Linked DNA regions of Nothobranchius furzeri. Each later gene encodes a partner of the first gene's protein in a complex. Links are inferred from orthologs where the notes say so. Each region holds a gene or a part of one and is shown on either strand. Other genes may lie near its edges.

Evidence for each region. The genes of interacting proteins can lie anywhere in the genome.
Region 2: smarcc2 (region 1) and smarca2 share a complex: the UniProt entries of both Homo sapiens proteins name them as parts of the BAF complex. The link is inferred for Nothobranchius furzeri from reciprocal best matches to the Homo sapiens genes SMARCC2 and SMARCA2.

What each region holds. Positions count from the first base shown.
Region 1 is NC_091743.1:50,346,106-50,350,273, reverse strand, and holds the start of smarcc2 (SWI/SNF complex subunit SMARCC2), read right to left. Parts: upstream 2,823-4,168; 5' UTR 2,774-2,822; coding exon 2,663-2,773; intron 1,733-2,662; coding exon 1,613-1,732; intron 1,512-1,612; coding exon 1,426-1,511; intron 1,305-1,425; coding exon 1,223-1,304; intron 833-1,222; coding exon 740-832; intron 658-739; coding exon 588-657; intron 494-587; coding exon 424-493; intron 258-423; coding exon 182-257; intron 1-181. UniProt on the Homo sapiens protein: Involved in transcriptional activation and repression of select genes by chromatin remodeling (alteration of DNA-nucleosome topology).
Region 2 is NC_091750.1:37,837,728-37,841,379, reverse strand, and holds part of smarca2 (probable global transcription activator SNF2L2), read right to left. Parts: intron 2,206-3,652; coding exon 1,825-2,205; intron 1-1,824. UniProt on the Homo sapiens protein: ATPase involved in transcriptional activation and repression of select genes by chromatin remodeling (alteration of DNA-nucleosome topology).

The sequences.
Region 1 (4,168 bases):
TATATATATATATATATATATATATGTATATACATATATATATATATATGTATATACATATATATATATATATATATATATATGTATATAGATACATACATATATATATATATATATATATATATATATATATATATATATATACGAGTAACTAATGATTAGAAATAAAACTAATAAAGACCTTCCTGGGCTTTTCTGGGCTCGGAGGATCCTCCACTGCAGCTTCAATCTCACTTGCAGGAATCCACGTGTCATAACTAAAAACAACAGAAGGGAACAAAATACACATCAAGGCTTGTGAGAATACCACACAAGGAGCAATGTGTAGGTTCAGTGAGCTCACAAAGAAGACCGTTTAGGACTCATTCAATGGTAAAAACGCGTGTGCCGCTGCTGTGTTTGAAGCGCCAAGTCAGAACCAACCTGTCTGGAAAATATCCCCAGTGGAGGAGGACCTGCTTGTCTCTCTTCATCACAGGACGCACCCACTCTTCTGGACCAACAAATATCATGTTGTATTAGAACTAAAGTGGAAAAGCAGCAGAATTCATAAGAAACCCGAGCTGAGCAACATAACAAGGCTTCACCTTCCTCCAGACTGGTGGGGATGGGAACCACAACGTGGGAGCTGGAAGCCTTGTCTTCAGTCACGGAGCCCTGCAGCACAAAAAGGCTGTGTGGATTATACATGCACAGCAGAATAACACTTTTGTTTAAAAAAAACTATGCAAAAACCAACCTGATGTCTTTTAATGATGTCTTTCAGTTTTCCAAGCAGCTTCGGTTCAATGTCAGAACTCAGGTAGATGATGGGTCGGCTCAGGCAGTTGTTCTACAAGAATCAAGGAGAACCAGCTCAAGTTGTAACTCTAGTTTTATGGTTCAAATCCTATAAATGAGCATTTAAGTGTGTCTGATTCAGAGAAAAGGCTGTCTTTTGTTATTTCTATCTTTAAATCTCACCACTCTGATTCTAAAGACACTTCCTAAACGTGATGTAAAAACAGGAGACAAGCAGCGTTCCCAGCACAGATAACCTATTTAGATCGGCTACTCGCAGAAACACAAAAGAAACAAAAACCTCAATGTTTAAATGTTTAGAATAAATCAGAAAAACCCCACAATTATCTGACAAAGATGAAAAACAATTATTACAGCATAACTGTCCAAGGAATGAGTTTTAAAAGCTTAACGGTGAATAAAATCAGTGAGAAAAACTCACCTGTACTAAAGATTTCTCAATTGTCATGAACATTTCCACATTTCGGTCCATCCTCGATGGATTCTGGAAGTCAAACCTGCGCCTACCAGGAAATTAAACTGGAGTTACACACAAAACAGCAGGACAGCCTAAATGCAGCAGAGCACTGCCACTTTTATTTCACTCAAGATGCATGATGAGACCAGTCAGAAAGAAGCTCTTACCATCCTTGGTCACTCTTGAACTTGTAGGCAGCAGCCAGAATGTGGCAGAGAGCCCCCCCTGATTTAAAGTCTAGAAAACACTTCATCTGCAGAAAGAAAATAAAACAGCTTCATATTACATCGCCTGAGGGCAAAGGGGTGAGTAATCTGTTAGAGAGAGGGGTGGGGGTAAATAAGTGTGACATACCGGCAGCTTAGTGAGGGGAGGGTTGCTGACATGTCTGCCAAACACCTCCTCCTGGAACTGGAGCAGCTGGACCACCAGGCTGGACAGGGATTTGTTGGTGGGGGGCTCGGCCTGGATGTACTGGGGAGATGGGAAAAACTTATGGGAACTCTGGAAGTTTCACTTTTATCACTATTCCTGTGTATGCATCTTTTATTTATGGGTGTAAATAATGTAGATGGATCTGTATGTTTATCAGTTTATATAGTATTATTGCTGGGTAAACTCAGTATATTTCTCATTCCTCGCTTCATATGGGTGTTTTATACATTAGCAACACTATATAAATAAAGCATTTATTCCATCGTCCTTTTGTGAATCCTATCTCATTAACTGTCTATTGCCTAAATCTCTGCATTCTTTTATACACATGAGCAGTGTTCACATATGTGTATTTGTTTGTTTCTTATTCTAGTCATTATTAAAGTGTGTTATTGTAACTGGATAATGGAGACTTCGGTGGACAAGGAAAACTAGATTTCTTTCGTAAAAAGCTTTAGATCTTTTTAAATAAAATGTGATTAATTCCACAATTATCCATCATTAATGAATGGATACTTGTGACTTTTTTGATCATTAACACCATGTTTTGTTAAATCTACGTGATAAAGCGCTGGTCAGTGTTATTTAACACCGCTCATGACTCCAGAGCCAGAGGCGCGCCACACAGCCAACATCTGGATGTGAGCCGCGTTACCGTTAGCCGATTAGCTTAGCTAGCCTGCTTTGCCAAAAATATCTCTTTTTCTAAACTCCGCTCCCTCCGGCGGGACTGTGTGGTGTCTTTGGATCCTTTTGGCTACAGCAAGACCTACAGACACCGACTTTTGCGGCCGCGTCTGATGTTGCGGTTGGCTCAGCATCCTTTTTTAGTGAATCAAACAGCTGGACGCTCAGCAGCACCCTCCCTCCTCTCTTTGTCACTGCCTCTGCCTCCATAGGTAAGCGCGTACGTTTCTGGGCAAAATAAGAAAGCTCCGTGAGCACGCTTATAAAACATGCGCTCAGTACCTTTTTGTAATTCTTGCCCAGCCAGACGCGGACATTATCAAACTGCGAAACGGTGTCAGATGCTTCGAAATATTTTACATTGGGGCCGCCGTCTTTCTTCCGCACCGCCATCTTTGCCTGCAGACTACCAGTCGGTGTTGGCTGCCTCCTGGCGGACAGAGGGCGTCTCTCCAATAGCTTGATAGCACAAAGCGCTGTGTCGACGGCAGACGAGCAGCAGGGGGCAGAGTTGTGCAGATAATAATTTATCCTGCAACATAGTTTAAAACCTGCTTTCAGCTTGTAAGAAAGTAGTTGCACAATTTACACTTTTTATAATCGTGATTTTATTAATAGGTGGAGCTGCGTTGATTTATTGCTGATAAAATACATTTGCACATACAGACTTGATCTGGAAGGGCATAAAACTGTGCATTTCATGTATGTTCCCATTTGTGCTTTTTTTATAGCCCATTTTATCCAGAAACCCAATAATAAAACAAATATAATTACTATATTCACACATACACAAACAATCCACTTACTTTTAGTCATTTTGAAATTTGTAGTAGCCATTTTTTCTATTATTTGTTGATAATTATAATTTTTTTCTCTTTGTTTCATTCAAAGTGTCAAAATATATATATATATACAAAAAACATACAAAAACATGCATAAACATGAACACCAAACAATTTGAATGAAAAGGGGCAGAAGGAAGAAATATCTTACATTATCTACCCCTATTGACAAACCAAACTTTTTAATAATGCTTCCATACAATTCTCAATAAACAACAAAACAAAACACAGATTCATTATATATTCTTGTAACTTACAGACCTAATCAGACACCAACTTAATTTAGGTTATTGTAGTTCTGTAATACACTTGATTTGATACATTTTTTTAATATATTTAGTGACTTTGATTCTTTTATGTCTTTGCTAAGGTTGTTCCATATTCTCAATTGCTTATTCTTGCTCACTTTAAATATATTTTTAAACATTTTCTAAGTGATTTTTTATATTTTTACAATTTTTTATAGTTTTTGTTTTTGTGAAGCGCCTCATGATTTTTATCTTGAGAGGCGCTATAGAAATGATATTTTCTTCTTCTTCTTCACGCCATTTACAGAGATAGTCATTTCTTTCATTCTGGTTCTAAATTTCGTTTTTTTAAATACTTCAGTTCCTTTAAGAAATAATTACTGACTCTTTTTTCAAACATTTTCTGAATGTTGGTGGGTAACGTATTGGTTTTAGCTTTATACATTGTTTGCAATATTTTCATTTTCACTAGATCATAAAATTTCATTAGTTTATATTTGATGAATAACGGATTGGATGGATCTCCATAGTGATTGTTATTAATGATTCTCAATGCTCTTTTCTGTAGAATAAAGAGTGGTTGTGTATGAGTTTTACATGTGGATCCCCATATTTCTACACAGTAATTCAAATATGGAACAATTAGTGAGTTATACTAAGTCAGCAATCAGAACTATTCAGTAAAAACTTAACTTTAT
Region 2 (3,652 bases), on another chromosome or scaffold:
GTTTTAGAAAACAACACGTCTCACTTTGCCTTAGAAATCTGGACCAGGAAACGGGACCGCATCAGTCCGGTTCTGGCCTCCCTGTGCTGGCTTCCGGTCTGCTATCGTTCTCGCTTCAAACACCTCGTCTTTGTTTTCAGTTTCTTCCAGGGTGGTGCCCCCCCCCCCCCCCCCCCCCCCCAATCTAGCCACGCTCCTGAACAGACATTCCCCGTCACACGCTCCTCTGACCACGGCCTGCTCGCTGTCCCTCGTTCTAGGTGTCGGACTCGTGGGAACCGGGCTTTCTCAGTCCTAGCCCCGTCACTCTGGAACCAGCTGCCACCCTCAGTTAGGCTGTCCCCCTCTCTGCGGTGGCCTGAAAACCCAGCTCTTCTGCTTGGCGTTCCCTGAACGTGTTTGAGGTCGGCCCTAGGGCTGCTCAATTAATCGAATTTTAATCACGATTACGATCTGAGTTTTGAACGATTATAAAAAACAAAACAAGCCGATTATTTGCTCCTCCCGCTTGCGATGCCCTGAGTTGCAAATGAAGCGCTCCTCCCACAGTGTTGCCAACAGTGACTTTGACGCTATTTCTAGCAGCTTTTCAGACCCCCTTCTTGACTTTTTAACTTAAAAGTACCTAGCGAACACCTCAGAAACATCTCTGGTAACCCTTAGCTACTTTCTGGATAACTGTCGTCGACATTTCCTGCAGGTTAGCTAAACACTCCGCCTGCGCTCCGGACCGTTCTTCAGGACATTAGGAAAGGGAATGATGTAGTGATGGGTCAGTCACTAAAGACAGCTCTCGGAGTCGGCTCCTTGTTAGATTAACCAGAGTGAGTGACACACACCGCACCTGCGGACTCCTGAGCCACTAAAAACAGCTAAATGTGAGCGTGTGGTGCGCTAAACGCACGTGCAGCTTGCCCCGATTGCTGAGAGACTGGGTTGTGGGGTGCAGCTGTGGTTGAGACAATTATTACATTAACTGATGGATGACTTGTAAATAAATAGTTTATAAATAAGGTAGAAATAAGTTCCTCACGCTGATAATTAATAACTAATCTCTCTGAGGACACGGTGCTAGTGCACTCTCCTACAGCACCTTGACATGACTCAATACATGTTATGCAACATTTTGTGAACATCAATTTATTTGTGTTTATTTGTTATGAATGCCACTGTATAATTCTTGCTGTCAGTATTTGCAAGATAATGGTATTTGGTTCTGTACTGGTTAGACCTAAATGAGTTAAACCAAGGTCTATAGCCCTTAGGTCATAAACTATGAGCTATAAGTATATTGGTCTTTTTATATTCAGGAGTTATTTTAGTGATCATTTGTTTCTTATTTTTGTCCTGATTGCGCCCTGAGAAATTTTATGACTGAATAAAAACAAATAAAATCAACATAAATTGAAAAATCGTCCTAAATAATCGTGATTATTATTTTTGCCATAATCGAGCAGCCCTAGTCGGCCCTCTTCTATGTTGATTTCGTTTCCCTGTTTTTACTGTTTCTACTTGAATGTTTGACCCTCTTTGCACTATTTGACCCCCTTTTATTATGCATTCATTCATTGTGACTTACAGTTCTTATGTACTGCGTACAGCGCCTTGGCCTCCCCGACAGGGACGGCGCTTTATAAATAAAGCTTTGAATTGAATTGAATAAAGTTACGCAGCAGTTTCATAACAACACAATGGCTGTCTGTTTGGTCCAGTCTGAGCCGCCATCATAGTTTTCTGACCAAAATTACACCAAATGGTCATTTAGCGCAAATCAAAAAGTGCTAGATTTCAGATTTAGGTGGTAAAGTGAGGAGGGCTGACTACCTGGAGGTCTGTACAGGCTGCCACCAGGAGCCTGCTGCTGCTGCTGCTGCGGCTGTTGCTGTTGCATTGTGGGTAGGCTCCTTTTGCCTTGAACAGCCAGCTGGAGGTTATCTGGCAGCGGTTGTCCCCGGGCCAGAATCTTGTAGGCGAGAATCTGAGCTCTGAGCTGCTGAAGCTGCACGGGACTGAAGGCAGAAGGTCCTCGTCCTTGTTGTCCCATAGCAGACATGCTGGGCATGCCGGCCTGAGGATCCAAGGACATCATAGGTGCAGACTGGGAGGGAGGCATGTGGGGTGGTGTGGGTCCACCTCCGCTTCCTGACATGGGACTAGAAGCGTGCTCGTGGATTCCCATCGGGGAAGGATGTGGAGACATGTATCCTAAACCCAGAAGGATGCATGTTTAATGTTTAACGTTTACACTCCTGCCCAGAAACACCAGCTCACTCACTTAGGCTACGTTCACACTGCAGACAAAAGCTCATCAAACCCGCTTTTTTTCCCCACATCTGGTTTTTTCGTGACAGTCTGAACGCACAGATCCGATTTTTTCAAATGCGATCCGTGTCACTTGGTTATGTGGTACTGATTTTGACACAAATCTGATGTTTTTGAAAGCGACTAAAGTCTGAACGGTCATCCGTCTCAGCCGAGGTGAGCGTCGTGTGGACGTTCCTGAGGAGAAGCACTGACAGGAGGGTTCTGGAGTCTGTCTCCTGTTTTAGGTTTAAGAATTAAACACAGGAGAGCCCGAGAACGGGAGCTGGAGGTGCTGCTGGAGCGGTCTCCGTCTCCGGGGGGGGCTCTGTAAATGAATCAACACCAGAACATTTTAGGTGAATTCAGAAAAGACTGATTCAGGAAGACGTAGGGATGGGTACCGAATTCGGTACTTTTTAAGGTACCGACCGAATTCCATAGTACCGACCGAGCACCGATTCACGTCATTTGAAACGGTGCCTCGTTTCGGTACCCGTCCTTCATAACGAGAACTTGCCTAGACAGCTGCACATGCGCAAGAGCGTTATGTCGTCGGTCGCTGCGAGCCAGTTGTAAACAGCAGCATGGTAGAAAGAACGCACGCTAAAGCTTGGGTCCACTTCACTAAATGTGATGGGTAACTGGGTGATGATGAAACCAGCGACAACGATCTAAGTGAGACATCCTCATCTTAATCTGCTCCGGTAGGTAAATAAAATGTTTAAGATAACGTTAGCTTGATATGTTAGCTTCCGTTCCACTAATGGTGCGTTCGCTTTCTCCTCGGAACTCCGAATTCTTGACTAGAAGAACATGAACGCGCTCTAAAATTTGGCTTCACTTTACTAAATGCGACGGGTGATTGGGTGAAGATGAAACCAGTGACAACGATCTAAGTGTGAGGCATCGTCGTTTTAATCTGCTCCAGCAGCTAAATAAACTGTTTAAGATAACGTTAGCTTGATATGTTAGCTTCCATTGCCACCGTTGTTATCAGCTAATGGTGCGTTCGCTTTCTCCTCGGAAATTCTAGCTTCCCAGTAGGAAAAATCAAATGAAAAAAAGACGGCAAAAGGAATGAAGATACACAGTAAATTTAGTTCACAGTAAAGATGTTTGCTTCAGTTTAATTATCAGCTTATAAAACTACAAGGACGATGTTAAAATACAAACAGTTGTATGTTATTTATCGTGATATTTATCAAATATTGTTATATATTGAGAAAAATAGATATTTAATTATAAAAGAGAATTAAAATAATAAACACTCAAAAGTATCGAAAATTGGTACCGTTAAGTACCGGTATCGATTCGTAGGTACCGGGAATTAGGACCGGATCGATTCAAA